Linked DNA regions of Oryctolagus cuniculus. The protein of the gene in region 2 interacts with the protein of the main gene of each other region in a pairwise test. Links are inferred from orthologs where the notes say so. Each region holds a gene or a part of one and is shown on either strand. Other genes may lie near its edges.

Region 1 (5,732 bases), on a different chromosome or scaffold from region 2:
AGTCAAGTTCTCTAGCTTTCTGGAGCCTTGTGTTCCCCTGTGGAGGAGCAGCTCTGTGGCGGATACTGGTGTGTTTGTGCACTGATGGCCATGGGTCCTAGGTTGGTCCTAGCACCTTAGTATCATAGATTCCCATGGCACAGGGCCTGAGAGGAGAAGACAGCCAGCAGGATGTGCAAGTAGGCCCCTGTGTCTTGTTGGGCAGCAGGGTCTTCCACACCAACTGTGTCTTAGGACGTATTCACCAAGAGGTTATACCATCGGAGGCCCACTTTTTTTTTTTTTTTTTTTATTTGACAGGTAGTTATACATAGTGAGAGAGAGAGACTGAGAGAAAGGTCTTCTGAGTAAAGGCGTACACTCCCCAAATGGCCGCTATGGCCGGCGCTGCACCGATCTGAAGGCGGGAGCCAGGTGCTTCCTCCTGGTCTCCCATATGAGTGCAGGGCCCAAGGACTTGGGCCATCCTCCACTGCCTTCCTGGGCCACAGCAGAGAGCTGGACTGGAAGAAGAGCAACCGGGACTAGAACCCGGTGCCCATATGGGATTCCGGTGCCACAGGCGGAGGATTGACCAAGTGAGCCACGGCACTGGCCCAAGGCCCGCTTTTAAATTAAATTTTTAAAATTTATTTAACTTCTTTGAAAGGCAGAGACGCAGAGATCTCCCAGTGCTGGTTCACTCCAAATTCCCACAACTGCCGGGGATGGGCCTGACCAAAACCAGGGGTCAGGAGCTCCGTGCAGATGTCCCATGAGGGTGGCGGAGACCCAAGTTCTATGGCCACCCTCTGCTGCCTTCTAGGATACGTATTAGCAAGAGGCTGGGATTGGCAGTGGAGCCAGGACTGGAACTCAAGATGCAAGCGTCCCAAACAGCATCTGTACGGCTGCACCCAGCCTCTCCCCACGAGGCCCCCTTTGAACCCTCCTCCTCCTGACCCTTGATGGGCAGTTCTTTTTGAACTGAACCGTGCAGAGCCATCATCTGTTCCACTCCACCCCCGACACACACACACACAGTCTCTCCATCAGCTGAGAAGCCTGCTGTTTTCTCTAGGGAGCGAAAGCTTCCAGGCTGCTCTGATGCAGGATGCTGGCGTCCCAAGTGGCAACCGAACCCACAGCACCAAGACACCTGCCCAGCCTTAAGGTTTTGAAATCTTGTCTACTGAAACGCTAGCGCCCCTAGAAAGGACACCTTCTGCTTTTCCCACTGAGCCAGTGATGAGCTGTGTGCCCAGCCGCGCCTGTGGGGTGGGCCTTGGAGGCAGGTGGGGAACAGCCACGCCCGGGGGTGGGCGAGACCCTGCACGTGTCTGACCACCTGTGACGGGCAGCGCTCAGCAGGCTAGAGTCTGGGCAGATGGCAGCGGTCTGAGAGGTTGACTTCCTCTTCGCTCTGTCCAGGGTGGTATGAGACCTCGACCGCTGGGCTGGGTCTGTCTAGTTCCTGTCCCCAGCACCAGACACACAGCGCTCCTCCCTCCACCCTTCGGGGGTCAGTGCTACTCCCTATGTCTTTTGAAAGAGATCTAAAGAATTCTTTCACATTCCAGGGAGTGACTAGTTAGCACGCTGTGCTCTCTCAGTTGTTCTTTATTTGTTTCATTATCGTTTTAAAAACGGGGAAACTGAGATCAGACGTTAAAGAACGGAGCTGCTGCCCACAAAGACGGTGCATGAGCGCACACACCACCTCCATCTTTCCATCATCTTGGCACTCCAGGGACATTCGTAGTCTGCCGTCGCTCGTCATCTTAATTTTCCTTAAAAGCAGTCGGAAGGGAACGGCGATGATGCTTTTGTGCTTGGCAAAGTGGTAACCTGTCGGTGGTGAAAATGAGGAAGGGCTTCTTGCTGTGGGAAAGCACTGGGAGATTCCGTTTCCGAATTCCCCATCCACATGTGCTGCCTGAGCAGGTGCAGAGAGGCAGCTTTGCAGAGCAGAGGGGCTGGGAGAGGGAGGGCTCCTCAGCTTGCCTCCCGCTGCCTGGTGTGAGCTGTGGTCCTTCCCGGTGACAGCCGTGACAGCGGGTGCATTCCATGCCACCCAGCTGCGAGACACTTCTGCCTGAGGCAGGCACACTCCACAGTTTCCCTACCAAATATAGACTAATAAAAGCAATGCTGCAGCTTCTTCCTTATTCCCCAGTTGGACAGCCCAGGCGTCCAGAATGTTTGGTAAACATTCTGTATTGTATTTTTATGAGAAGTACAGGAATGGTAAATAGGCAGACCGTCGGGATTTTTGTTTGTGTTTTGTTTCTAAGCACCAGGGTATGTGAGGGTCAGCATGGTCTCCTTCTCTGTCTTCTTTCTCATGGGTGCTCCAGGTGCTGGGAAAGTCAGGCACTACAAAAAGTTCATGGGAACATGGAATTCAAGCCTAAGTTTATCTTGGGGCAAAGAGATTCTAGGATCCGTATGTACATAGTTTCATCGTTCATATGTTCCATGAGCTTTTTCAGGACTCCCTTGTATGTGTGGATTTGCAGATTTTTTGCCCCAGGTAAACTTACCTTTTAGTACCATTTTTCTCAGGGACGTTTTGAGGTTCGCTTTACTGTAGCTCTGCTGGTGGCCTCTCTGTTGACTGCCACCTCCCAGCAGCACAGGCTGGATCCAGTTGGCCCCTTGATCACGGCCATAAATGGAGCAGCTGTGACAGGCTCCCAGGTGACGCTGAGGCTGCCAGCCAGGGGCTGCCCTGGGGGCCCCTCTCCATCACTTCACATTGAGTGGGTATTTCACCTGGAAAACAGTCGTGGAACCGTGGGGGTGTGCATTTGGCACAGCCGCTAGGACGCTCACGTTCCAAGTCGGAGTGTGGGGTTTGAGTCCTGACTGTACGTCCACTTCTAGCTTCCTGCACCCTGGGATGCAGCAGGTGATGTGGCTCAAGTACTTGGGCCCCTACCCCCCACGCGGGAGACCCAGACTGAGTTCCAGGCTCCTGGCTGCAGCCTGGCCCAGCCCCAGCTGCCGGAAGCATTTGGGGAGTGAACCAGTGGGTGGGAGATGGATCTCTCTCCCTCTTGCTCTGCTTTTTAAAGAAGTAAGCCCAAGCCCGACGCTCTGTGTCCTGATCTTCTCACTGACGGCTCTGGTCTGGCCCGCTGTCTTTCTAGGATTGTCTCAAAGCCTGCCAGGAGCAGATCGAGGCCGTGCTGCTCAACAGCCTGCAGCAGTTCCGTCAGGAGCAGCGCGACGGATCCAAGTCGGAGGATGAACTGGACCAAGCCAGCACCCCTACAGACGTGCGGGACATCGACCTGTGAGGATGCCAGGCGGGCCGAGCGAGAGAGGCGTGTCGTCATCTGCACTCTCCTCTCTGGTTATGTTTTGTTCTTTGTGTTTTAGGATGAAACTTAAAAAAAAAATCTGCCCCCACGTAGATCATATTTAAAGATCTGTTAGAAGTGAGAGAAAAAGGTCCTATCCAAACAATAATTAAAAGCGTGTGGTGCCTATTCAAAGTACAACATAAGGGAATCCCCTGTATATGCGAACAGTTGTTGTTTGATTATGTTAAAAGTGATAGTAAAATGCTTACCGGAAACCCTGCAGAGTAGCTAGACAATATGTACGCCTGCAATATGGGAACCAATTAGAAGAGACTCTTTGTCATGTTATGAACTAGTGCATACACACCCCTTTTTGTAGTGGCATTTCAAGGAACTGTGTAGGCCATTTATGGAATGATTAGATTGCCAAGCAATGAACTCAACAAGGAATTCGAAATAAGGAGGGGGGGCATGATGGGGAGGGAGTACCAAAAAAAACTTGCTGTGATTGAACCACGTTGGATGGAGAAGTGCCTCCAGTCTCCACCAGCTGTGGCAGCACGTGGCTGGTTGGACAGGGGGTGCTGGGTGGTAACCCCACCTCTCTTGCCACACTCGGCACTTCTCCTTCCACACGTGGCTCATCCCAGACTCCGCCGTATCATCTGGGAGAGAAATGCAGCTATCGGGCCCTAACCAAAACTCTTTGGGACATGGAAACAGAGGGTGGGATCTGGAATGGGATCTTTTCTCCTGCTGTTTGAGAGAGGGTACAGCGACCGTGGCATCCCGTATTAGGAAAAAACTGATCTTTTGGTGCTGATTGGCATGTCTGGTCCACAGTTGAGCATTGTTATAAACCATTCCATTCTTAAAGCACTTTGAAAATTTGTTCCCGAGGGGTAGATGGGATGGTTTATGCAAATCAAGCTGACTCCTCCCCTCTTCTCTCTGGCCCCTCCCCATCCTGCCCCCAGTCTTGAGTTCTCCGGTACCCACCCTTTCCGCTGGCATTCCCATCACGACATTCCTCGGAAAAGTCTGAACAAAGCCCTGTTAGCACGTGGATGGCGCGGAGGGCTCCTCCGCAGCTCCAGCTTCTCTCGACGGGGAGGGCAGGCGTCCTCGCGGACGGCTGGACCTCGGGTGTGGCGTGCGGCTCCCTTAGTTTCACTGCAAAGTCGTATTCAGCGTACTTGAATTTTCTGTTTCCTCTCCACTTCTTCGAGGCATTCAGTTAGCAGAGAGGTTGGAGCGACAACTTTTTTTTTTTTTTTTGCACAATTGTCATTGACAGGTAATGAAGCTATTTGTTACAATATTTGCTTTTTTTAAGTAAAAAAAAAAATCAGAACAGGGCTACCTTGAAGAATTATTTTATACACAGATTCTGCCTTGTTTCGTAGTGTGAGGGTTGAAGATGGAGAAAAATCTAAGGGTCTCTTATTTTCATTTTATTTTGTTCAGTTTTTTATTATTTTTTTTGCGCTGCTAAGAAGCTGAGATCGTTCATCCTTACTCACATTAACAGTACCTAGCTGTAATGTTTCACCAAGTGTGCTGCTATTTTATAAACATTTTTATAATATATTATTTTACTGCTTAAGTTCCAAGTCCTGAAGTAGATGGTTAAGATATGAGTTCTTCGTACTGGAAAAGCCCTCCCATCCTTTGTTCCTTCCGGTAGCATATTCATGGTTAGTGGGTTTTGTTTCTTTCTTTCTTTTTTTTTTTTTTTTCCTCTGATCACATTCTTCAAAGACAGTGCATTCTTTACCTCAGGTTTACTGGACAAAATCAATAACTACAAAAGACAACGACTTTCTTACCTCACAGCCGAACACTTTCTGCTTTGGGAGCAAGTCCCCAGGAGGGCGAGGCGAGGTCGGGTGGGGAGGAGGACTCGCCAGGCCCCGCACCCAGGGGCCTGCCCTTGCTCACAGGCCATCGGGCTCCCTTTCTGACTCCGGTATCCTCCTCATGATGGAAAAACAATGCATTGAACCAAGAGACCCCCCCCCCCCCCAAGGCAGACCTTGAACTCAAGCTTGGACCCAGCGGCATGGGCGCGGGAGTTGTAGGCGTCAGGAAGGAAGCGGGAGGGCATTGCAGCAGGCGCGGGGCTCGCGGGCGGCCGTCTCCCCTCTGTCTCGCTCCTGTGCACAGACCCCCACCCCCTCCCCCGTCATCTCTGCAGCTGTCCCAGGTCTTAGGCCTGCAGCTTGCAGCGTGTGTGGTGCTCAGACCGGGGTGAGGCAAGCAGTAGGCCAGCCAGGTCCTCGGCGAGGCTGGACCGCGAGATTCCGGGGTTCAAAATCACATGATGGAGTTGGCACAAAGAACAGACGGGGTAGGTGAGTGTAGGGAGGTGGCTGAGAGGCTGCAGGAAGTGTGATGGCAGGGGGTTGGGACTCGCTGAGCTAGCTTGACCCTGAGATTCTCGGG
Region 2 (6,371 bases):
GGGATGGAGGGAGGGGCGGGGCGGAGAGGGGGAGAGGAGGAGAAGGGGCCGCGGCTGCGCATCCCCGCCCTGCCCCGCACGAGCAGGTGTCCCTAGGGGCGGGGGCGAGTATGCCGGCCCCGCGAGGGTGGAGGGAGGGGAGTGGCCAGGGAAGGGGAGTGTGTGCCGGGGTCGGAGAATAGGTGTGTGTGTGTGTGTGTGTGTGTGTATAGGATGGATGATGAGTGCCTAGGGGATGCAGGTGTACCAAGAGCCGTGTGCAAAGAGCTGCCCGGGGGTCCGAGGTGAGTGGCCAAAGGCATGGGCGCAGGCAGTAAACACTTGCACACAAAAGGCTGGCAAGTGTGCTTGGTGTGAGCCGGTGTGGTGCTGTGCAAGAGAGGCGAGTCTATCAGGAGTGGAAGCTGACAGAACTGCCTGTGAGAAGCAGTTGGATGGTGATGTGTGAGGGGGTGAGTGAGCCAGGGAGGTGGGAGTGCTAAAGGGATGGGAGTCTCTTCTTGCCTGCTAGTCTCCTGCCCTCACCCCTACTACCGGGAAGCTCTCCCGGTTAGCCCTTTGTTTTTGTGGGAGCCTTGGCCCTGCGAATCAATCCACACGTGTTTTTTCTGCCTTGCACTTATGTCCTTTCTCCATCTCCTCCCCTTTGCAAAGCTGAGGGAAAAGGGATTTCAGGGGAGCCCACTGGGTCAAACACACTGGGAGAGGATTAATTAGTCAAAGAGTAATTAACAGGAGAAGGGAGGGGATGGAGCCAGGGACAGACCGCCAAATTAAGACTCCCCAATAGGAAGTGCTAGACAGTCGTGATCTTGGGAAGAATTCAAATGTTTTGGATGGACAAATGGATGAACCAGGAAAAGGTGCTGGGACCCAAGTGCCCATACAGGAAAGATGGCTGTGTTCGCAGCCCAGTGACCCGCAGAGGGCTTCCGTGGAAGATGGAGGCGAAGTGAGGACTGCTGATGGGCAAGAGAGCTCGACAAACTCCCACTTAGCCCAGGCTCTGGAAGGCTCACAGACCAACCAGCCCCTGCTTGGTAGCCATTGAAACCTTCACCTCTCCAGCCTCTTCGTTCGGATCTTGAAGTTTTCCTTACTGGTGTCCCAGCTGCCCTTGTAGCCAGGGCCCAAGCGTCGCAAGTATCCGAAGTGGAATGGGCACTGACATACTTCCATCTTGCCCTGACTCATGTGAACTCATCTTCAGGTCGGAACTCTTACATGACCACCAGAGTTGAGAACAGAACTTAGGGTGCAAGGAGTGGCAAATAGGGTAATAAAATGCTTACAGATTTTAGACAATTTCTCACAGACAAGATGCTCAATCTCTTTACTCCCATGTCCTCAAAGAGCTGGGAGATAAAGAAGTTGGAGCCAATAAGATAAGAAATCTACCTGTGTCTAGGTGTCTGTAGGCAGAGGCTATTTGGGAAAGGCTGTGTTCAGGGCGGTGATGAGCGCTAAGAAGGTGGTGTCTGGGGAAAAGAAAGCACAAGGCCCCCGAGTGAGTTACAAGGTTGGCAGGAGGCCAGAAGTCAATCTCGTGTATAGCAGTGGCCTGGGATGTTGGTGATGGTTATGGTGATCCCTCTACCTATTCATCTGAGGACAAAGGACACACATATCACATAGCACACACACACACACACACACACGCATCCACATATCACAGATTTGTAAACTCAACGCTGAAAAGAACCTTCAAGATCAAAGCCGATATTCCTGCCTCCTGCTCATCAATAACTTCTCTGCCTGACAGCACCCAGTCTATTGTAACACTCCCAGAGAGGGCTGGAAGCAGCCCGGACCGGGAAGAGAGGCAAGCACTACCTTGCCACAATTCCTGTTGGATTACTCTATTAACCTGCCTTCCACCCCTCTTCTAATTCCAGTCTGCCCTCAGATGGGCATTGTCTACTCCCTATAGGACCACATTTTATATACAGCCTTACCACTACTCCTAAGAGCCAGTGACGCAGACACCAAAACAAAACCCCACACACACACTGCAAGCAAGCGCTCAATGCAATTTTGTTGAATGAATGAGTGAAACAAAGACACAAATCCGATTGTTTTCCCACGGCCGCGGAGCCGTAAGGTGACAGCCCCACCTGCCACCGCCGACGCCCCTGCCCCCACCTCCCGCCAGCGTGGAGAGGCTGCGAGGCCAGCAGCCGGCCAGGAGCTCGGGTGCTCTGCCCTCAGCGTGGAGTCGGGAGCCGGGTGGCCCAGGTTGCCATGGCACCGCCTCGGACTCCACCCTCTCCCGTTCCCCCTCTCCCACCCCACCTCCCTGGCGCTGAGGTTATGGCAGCCAGTCACGTGCCCCGCCGCGTAACCACACCTCTGCTCCTCAGAGCAATGTCAAGCGGTCACGTGTGATAGCAACAGGTCACGTGGCTGGCATCCCCCCTCCGCCCCCTTTCCCCTCAGGGCCCCCCTCCCCGTCCAAGCCCAGCTCGGCCGCCCCTCTGCGCATGGGTGGCGGTCACGTGTCCCGAACGTCCGGCGCCCGCCCCGCCCTCCCAGTTTCCGCGCGCCTCTTTGGCAGCTGGTCACATGGTGAGGGTGGGGGTGAGGGGGCCTCTCTAGCCTGCGGCCTATGTCTATGGTCGGGCCCGGAGCGTCCAGGTGCCCAGGACCGAGCTCGGGTGTATGGCGCTGGAGGAACCAGCTCCGGGGCCCCGATAACGGGCCGCCCCTGCACCTCCCAGCCTGGAGTGAGGTAAGTGCAGCCCCTGCCCCCACTGGGGGCCAGTCCCGCCGCCGCCCCCTCCCCCCACAGCCGCTTCCCATGCGTGCGCTTCGCAGGCGATTTATGGGAGGGTCGCCCGCGGGCGAGAAGTGGGGCTTTTGTGGACGTGGGAAGGTGTAATTTCGGGGACCGGGGTGCGGGATCCTCGGCGCCAGGCGTGTGTATGTGTGTGATCTCCTTTGTGCTGGATGCGATGTTCCCAAAGGAAAGGGGGCTTTTACAAAGTGTGCGGCCTCACGTGGCTGGAGGGGTCGCTGTTGGAGTCATTGTTACCTGAGGCGCGGCGCGGCGGGCGGTCGCGGAGGGCGCGGGGTGCAGGTGGGGCCGTCTGTGCCATCCGTGTCGGAATCACTTTGTCCGCTGCCAGCTCAGGCCATCCCAGCTCTGGGAGAGCATGTGGTGCAGGGAATCTCTGTGTTCCTAGGGTCAACCCTGATCTGAGAATGGCTACCTCTCGCTACGAGCCTGTAGCTGAAATTGGTGTCGGTGCCTACGGGACGGTGTACAAGGCCCGGGACCCCCACAGTGGCCACTTTGTGGCCCTCAAGAGCGTGCGAGTCCCCAATGGAGGAGGCGCTGGAGGGGGCCTTCCCATCAGCACTGTTCGCGAGGTGGCTTTACTCAGGCGGCTGGAGGCCTTTGAGCACCCCAATGTTGTCCGGTGAGAGGAAGGTGCAGGGCCCGGAGTGGGCAGTCCAGGCAGGGGGGCTGTGGTGGTCAGGAGAGAGGTGGGGATCCTGGGGAGGTACACGATGAGGAGGCCATAGGGGAGTCAGAGGATCCTAGCTAGCGAGGGACCATTTGTTCTGGCCAGGCTGATGGACGTCTGTGCCACCTCCCGAACCGACCGGGAAATCAAGGTGACCCTGGTGTTTGAGCACGTCGACCAAGACCTAAGGACGTATCTGGACAAGGCACCCCCACCAGGCCTGCCGGCAGAGACCATCAAGGTAAAGGGCGGGGGCGGACACGGGGAGGTGGGTTGGGACCTTCTAGCAGAAGCCCTGGGCATTTCAGGCCTAATGCCTGGTTTCTTGTGTGTCTGTTTTTTTTCCCTTGCAAATCAGGATCTGATGCGCCAGTTTCTTAGAGGCCTGGATTTCCTTCATGCCAATTGCATCGTCCACCGAGACCTGAAGCCAGAGAATATTCTGGTGACGAGCAGCGGGACGGTCAAGCTGGCTGACTTCGGCCTGGCTAGAATCTACAGCTACCAGATGGCGCTTACACCTGTGGTCAGTAGAAAGATGTGGTAGCCAAAAATGGGCTCTGGTTGGGGGTAGGAGAAGGATTGCCCATAGCAGCTGAGAAATCATACTTTGTCCTTCCATCAGGCACTGGTGCTTCCCGGAAGCCCTGGGGGCCCTCACCTACTCTCGCTGTTTCCCTTAGGTTGTGACGCTCTGGTACCGTGCTCCTGAGGTTCTTCTGCAGTCTACATATGCCACGCCTGTGGACATGTGGAGCGCTGGCTGTATCTTTGCAGAAATGTTTCGTCGAAAGTATGGGACCCAAGTTCCCTGCACAACCTGAGTCCCCCGCCTTGTGCAGGAGCCACATGCATGCCTTGGCCATTTTTGTACTTGGGTGCTGTTCACCATCTTGCCCGTAACCAGCTCTGAGACGGAATCAGAGACTTCACATGCCTTTATTCCCCACACCCTCTAAGTCCCACTAAGCAGGACTCATGCCACCGCTGTCTCTGAAAGTGACTGCCACCTTGTATTCCTTCTCGCTCTAGGCCTCTCTTCTGTGGAAACTCCGAAGCCGACCAGCTGGGCAAAATCTTTGAGTAAGTGACCAGCCAGGGGGCAGAGAATTTTCCATTCTGAGTCCTCTCTCTGCTGAACTCGGAGTTAACCCACTGGCTCTGCCTGGGGACGGGAGCTGGAGAAGGACCCCTGTGACAGAGCTTTCGTGTCTCCCTAGCCTGATCGGGCTGCCTCCGGAAGACGACTGGCCCCGAGATGTGTCGCTCCCCCGAGCGGCCTTCTCCCCAAGAGGGCCCCGCCCAGTGCAGTCGGTGGTGCCGGAGCTGGAGGAGTCCGGAGCGCAGCTGCTGCTGGTACGTGCGGGCGTGGGGCGTGGGTATGGGGCGAGACTGGGCTGAGAGACGGCAGTATGTCCGGCCCCAGCCCGTGGTGGTTGAGGAGCAGTTCTTATTGCTGTTGGGAGTGGCCAGGTGCAGAGAGGGATACACAACATAGAGAATCCATCCCCAGGTCGTGTTGGGGACAGTCAGGGGAGGGAGAGAAGTCTTTGTGCTCCACGGTTTTCTGACCTTGGCCTCTACCCCCTAGGAAATGCTGACTTTCAGCCCACACAAGCGGATCTCTGCCTGCAGAGCCCTGCAGCACTCTTACCTCCACAAGGAAGAAGGCGGCCCAGAGTGAGCCGTGGACACCGCCAGCCACGCCCTTCTTCTGGACACTAGGGTGGCGAGAACCCCACAGAGAAAACCGCTCTGCCTCGTCTCTGCGGCCGGGCAGACTCCGACTTTTTACAGAGAATATTTTGCTACCTTGATGACATTCCCTTCCCACCCCTCCTTTCGAGGCCTATCTTCCTGCCCCCTGTTTCTCTACACTAAGGGGTATGCCCCGTCTTTCCCCCTTTCCTACCTTGATACTGGGGTCCTTTTTTATACAGGAAAACAAATAAGACAAAGAAATAAGGTCTTTTTTTTTTTTAATGTTTCTTTCTCTGATTGGCTTTGTCACTGGGAGATCTGGAGAAACCATGTGGAAGAAGGGACTTCCCTTAGCCCCTTAAAGAGTGTCCTGAAGTTAGACCCAGGGCCTGGGCAGCCACACAGAGCCCCTGCACTCACAAACGTGGAATTGAAATGGCTTTTATTTTTATATTCACTGAAATGGCTCAAACTGGGTCCTGTTTAGGCGTTCTTGGTGGTTTTCTCCTTGGCTCTGCCCCTGATTGACCTCCAGAGCCCAGCATGTGGGAAGGTGAAGAGGGGAAACAGCCCCGCCCCATGCACTCCCTGGAGCTGCCTGCATCCACTTGGGCAGACAGAAAGCTTTCTTTCTAGCCTGCAGTCTGGCTGCACCCAAGTCTGTCAAGCCCTGAAGCCTCACTGTTGAGTTGTTCTCAGGGGATGTAGCAAAGGGCCCTTCCTTTTTCTCAAACAAAAAGGGGCAGCAGACCCTGGATTTTCCCTAAGGGAAAAAGAAAACGCAGGAGAGCAGGCAGAAGGGGCCAGAGTCTCACAGGAAGGCACTGGGGTTGGCGCGCGGATCCTTCTGATTCCGGAATCTCATCGCTAGCCAGACACCAAGGATCTGTAGGGACAAGAGGAGCCACGAAGGCACGGTTCAGTTCTGAGAGGGTCAGACCTGCAGAGAAGGGGTGTACTTGAGGGAACGGGAGACTGTACCTCAGTAAAGCTGAAGAAGAGTCCCACGCCCCCCAGAATTTTCAGGGCTTCATCTGAATGCCTAAGGAGCTTCTCTCCACACATGGGGCATGCGGAGCTCCTGTTCTTGCAGATCTGAGGAGAAGGCGTGTGTTTGGAGAATGCAGAGACGCTGAGCTGCCTTCTCCAAATGTCTGGGGTGGCCACCCCTAGGAATTACTAGAATCTGACCAGTATCCTACA
Region 3 (4,422 bases), on a different chromosome or scaffold from region 2:
TTATATTCTTGAAACAAGACTAAAGGTGTACTGCCTTTCAATTGTATTAACATTTTGAAGCACATAAATTCACAAGAGCAAATAAGTTTTTTGGCAGTTATCAAAAATTGTTTATTGTTAACAAAAATATGAAAGCAAATGCTTACATAATGCACATATATATACAGATGAATGAATGCTATAGGCTTATTCCTCTGAAACATTTTTAGTTATGCATCATTTCTGATTTCACTGATAATGTACAAACTATACAGCAAAACATTTACTATCTAATGTAAAATCATGTAGGAGGTAAATATGTATGTTAATTTTACAGTTATATTTATATTACACTCTAAATTTTAGTCTGCCTCTATAACATTAACTTAAAAGGTGAAAAGCTGTGAACCATTAATTCAAGATAAGTCATTTGTTTTCGTCGTTTTATAGAGTATGCCTGACTTGTTTTACTTTGTCCTCTAATCTCCAAGTTTGTCTCGGATTATCAGATTACATTTGGTTTATGAGCAGACACATGTGACAGAAAAAACAGGAGCCTCTTACAAGAGAATTACGTTGTTTCTTATTTTCTCCCCTAAAACATTACTCCAACCTCCCCCCCACACACACACACAAAACAGGTGACTACCTAACAAATATTTTTAAACCTAGATTATGGTGCATGGGCAACAAGGAGAATAAAACTTTATAAGGCATTCAAGTTTAATTCTGCTCATAAATCACTTAACCAGCTAGATTCTCATGTTGCAGTAGAAATCGATCATTGATTTTGCCCTCAGTGTAGATATTATTATTTTGCCGCGTGCTCTCACGTCTGGAGAGTAAGATGGAATTTAATTTAATCTGAATAAGACTGGGAGGAGGTGGGTGACCTGCGTAGCATAAGAGGAGGAAGCCGACCCCTGGGGCTGGTCGCACCCTTGCTTTTGATCCAGGTGTAAGTGCGTGTCTCCTGGCAGCGGCCTAGCCGCCCCGCCGGCACCCTCGCCCTGACCGCTCTTCCCTCTCGCGCAGGTCATGATGATGGGCAGCGCCCGCGTGGCCGAGCTGCTGCTGCTCCACGGCGCCGAGCCCAACTGCGCCGACCCCGCCACCCTCAGCCGACCGGTGCACGACGCCGCCCGGGAGGGCTTCTTGGACACGCTGGTGGCGCTGCACCGGGCCGGGGCGCGGCTGGACGTGCGCGACGCCGGGGGCCGCCTGCCCGTGGACCTGGCTGAGGAGCGGGGCCACCGCGACGTCGCTCGGTACCTGCGCGCCGCCGCGGGGGACTGAGGGCGGCGGCGGGCGGCCGCCCACGACCAAGGGTTCTCCCTCGCCAGTCCCCCATCCCTTCCCGCTTTCAAAGAGGGCTGCAAACGTGGAGCGGCACTAAGCCCGCGAACTTTCCGGAGCGGCTCAAGCCCCAGGAGGAGGAGGAGATCAAACGCGTTTGTAAACTCTGGATCCGACCCTCGGCACTCACCTGGAAGCCAGACGCGGACAGCTGGCGCAGGTGGGCTTCCTGCCCGATTTAGGAGCTGGTGACGCTGCAGGGGTCGTCTGCTTTGCGGGACTCTCTGCCGGAAAGTGCACGTGACTTCCTGGAGCGACCCCAGGAGCCTGGAGTTCTCCACACAGCTGATCCTGGGGGCTGGAGGAAGGGGGCAGCATTTGGCGATTCGGAGGGGGCGGATGTCCCGCAGGCCCCCACTGACCTCGGTGGAGCTCCAGCTTCGGACGTCAGGGCCTGGAGGCTGCAGAACGCGGGCCACACAGGGGTCGAGGTTGGCTTCACGAAGTGCCCAGCCTACCTTGGGTGATGCGGTGCAAGGCGCGCCACCAGCAGAGCAAAATTCTCTCCAAGTCCAGATAAAGGACGGGAGCGACAGCAGACTAGCCCCCAAATTCTGAAACCCCTGGCTCGGCTCCCCACGACGCAGAGGAGCGAGTTTTTGAAAAGGTGCTGGCTCCTGCGCTTCGCCCGTGGAGGGCGGGACTCTCATGGCGTTCCGAGGCAGAGCACAGCAAACCGCGGGCCGACCGCAGTGAGCGTTAACTGCAGCGGGTGCTGTAACGACTTGCTGCTTCCGCGTTTCTCAGCCTACAGACTTCCCTGTGAATCGCCTCTTGGAAAGGTTCCGTGATGTTTTCCACTTTTGCATTGTTCTTCTGTAACTGCCTCATTTAATGCGGATACTTTAAAGAACATGTCGGCGGAGGTGAGGAAGAACTCCAACTCTAAAATGAAGTTATGGCAGCATGTCAAACTCCCGGTGCTACTGCTTAGATTGCTTTCATTCTTAACCTATTTATTTCCTTGTGAAAATGTTGATCGTTTCCTTTATTCCTTTATGAAGAGTGTCTCAGGGGGTCAAACTATGAACTATTCCAAAGGTCTTTGAGAGATAGATGTCCTTGTCCAGGAAATTATCTTGGAATATTTCCCAAAAGGTTGTTGAAAAAGTAGATGGTGTCTAAAACTGCTGAAATGTTCTGTTGGTAGCTCCTGGGGTTTCTTAATATCTGCTGAACAAACTAATGGTGCACTCCCTTGAGATTTCATTGCCATTGTTCCTTGGCTCGCTATAGCATTGGAACAATGGTTAATTCACTGTTTTAATAAAGAATAAACAACAGAGATTGAACTCAAAGATATGAGTGATTTGACTAAGAAATGTGTTTACATGGATTTGCCACTACTGAGAATGTACAAAGACCTGAGGAGCTCACTTCTCTCACCCTTTGTAATCATTATTGGTAAGTGATTCCAACAGTAATTTATAAAAACTGGCTACACATACCTCGGAAAGTTAAATGTAAGATTTATGCATGTCTTATGCTTCTAAATGTCCAGCATACTATATGTACATATAAAGAGAGAAAAGGAAACAACAAACTAATTTGAGAGTAGATTTATAAAAAGGATTACCTTTGAGCTGAATACAAAAATCTTTACTTCCCCATCAATTACTCATTACCCCAAACTGATATATTATTGGGACAAGTTAGTTGAACGAAGACCAGACTATGTCTTACTGGGGGAAAGATGTTTATTAACATATAATTTATACTAAGCATGCTTCAAAATACACTTCTCCATGTAACAGTTAAACCTGTGAGATAGGTATTGTTTCCCAGATGAGGACAAAAAGGCAGAGAAATACCCAACAACTTGCCAGAGGTAACAGAATACTCATTCCTGGATATGCAAAGTTAGACTCTCTGGTTCCCAAGATGTGGAGTTCATTTAGTAAACAGTAGAAGGTATTTGTGAGGTGTTCTGTTTTGTGGGCAAAAATCATTTTTCTGGAGGCTGGCAAGTCCAGAGGCTACATCTATTGGGGACCTCGCTGGAGGATCCTAACATGGGGGAAGGCATCAGAGGGCCAGGATGCAGAGAGACAATCTCCAGGCCTCAAGCCTTTTCACAGCTGGTGCCAGGTTCAAGAGGGTGGAGCCCTCATGACCTAAACACCTCCCATCGGGCCCCAGCTCCCAATGCTGTTGCACTGGGGACTGTTTCCAACATATACTTTTCGGGCAGCACATTTAAAACACAGCAGTGGCCCTTCTCATATATACACTAGCCTACATCTAGCCAATTCTAATGTGTTTTGAGGCCTCCTGAGCATGCTATAGTCTTCCCCCATGCCCTGGCTGAAAGTTTTCTCTTGGTCCCTTTACTCCCACATGATTACATGATCGGGAGGGTCATCTTTTCTGTATATTGCTCAAGCAATACATTTTCAAGAAAATCTTTCAATAACCTGAGCATTTGTTGACTGAATAACTAACCTAAATTACATACTGACAGTAATCTAAGTACCCCTCCTCTATGATTCCCTACATGTTCCTCCAGCATATAAGGATGGCTGATTGTCTTTCTTTCCTGTGATACTGTAAACTCATCCATGGCCAAAACTAAATTTTGCTGGTTTTGTAGCACCTGTGCCTAACACAGTGTCTGGGACACAGACTTAATAGATATAAAAATAACCATAAAAAGAAACATTTCACATTATTATTTGGCTTCAAAGGAAAAAAATGATATAAATATCCATGGTTACTTATAGAAGATCAAGTTTAAAGAGAGAATGATAAATTACTTATATGCAAAGGCTAATTTGCCTCTGTTTCTTTGAGATACTGTTTTCATCAAAGAATTATTTTTTAAAAAATTATAAAAGTCACATTAGAAATGTAAAGTGGTTTATTTCTGGGAAAGTTAGTGATGAGGAATTTCATTTTGATTTTTTCTAATATCAAAATGCAGGCTGCTAAGGAGTAATATTATTACACAGATCCAAATCATTCTTCATGTGAGGCTTTTTAATTGCATTTTAAAAACGCTTTCGCAAGCATGTCACATTTGCAGAACATTAGAAGAGAAAGAATTTGAGCATAGTTCAGACAGCTCAATGCATACTTTCTGAAGCTACA

What was found.
Region 1: the proteins of CDK4 (region 2) and CCND2 interact in binary tests that used the Homo sapiens proteins (3 or more experiments, as listed by UniProt). The link is inferred for Oryctolagus cuniculus from reciprocal best matches to the Homo sapiens genes CDK4 and CCND2.
Region 3: the proteins of CDK4 (region 2) and CDKN2B interact in binary tests that used the Homo sapiens proteins (3 or more experiments, as listed by UniProt). The link is inferred for Oryctolagus cuniculus from reciprocal best matches to the Homo sapiens genes CDK4 and CDKN2B.

The regions. Positions count from the first base shown.
Region 1 is NC_091440.1:105,135,801-105,141,532, reverse strand, and holds part of CCND2 (G1/S-specific cyclin-D2), read left to right. Parts: intron 1-3,131; coding exon 3,132-3,281; 3' UTR 3,282-5,732. UniProt on the Homo sapiens protein: Regulatory component of the cyclin D2-CDK4 (DC) complex that phosphorylates and inhibits members of the retinoblastoma (RB) protein family including RB1 and regulates the cell-cycle during G(1)/S transition.
Region 2 is NC_091442.1:60,320,613-60,326,983, reverse strand, and holds CDK4 (cyclin-dependent kinase 4), read left to right. Parts: upstream 1-2,475; 5' UTR 2,476-2,480; coding exon 2,481-2,728; intron 2,729-3,182; coding exon 3,183-3,419; intron 3,420-3,572; coding exon 3,573-3,708; intron 3,709-3,825; coding exon 3,826-3,993; intron 3,994-4,150; coding exon 4,151-4,260; intron 4,261-4,499; coding exon 4,500-4,550; intron 4,551-4,687; coding exon 4,688-4,823; intron 4,824-5,058; coding exon 5,059-5,151; 3' UTR 5,152-5,429; downstream 5,430-6,371. Other genes in the region: TSPAN31 (tetraspanin-31), read right to left, coding at 5,980-6,054, 6,150-6,263.
Region 3 is NC_091432.1:185,072,346-185,076,767, reverse strand, and holds the end of CDKN2B (cyclin-dependent kinase 4 inhibitor B), read left to right. Parts: intron 1-1,014; coding exon 1,015-1,275; 3' UTR 1,276-2,633; downstream 2,634-4,422. UniProt on the Homo sapiens protein: Interacts strongly with CDK4 and CDK6. Potent inhibitor. Potential effector of TGF-beta induced cell cycle arrest.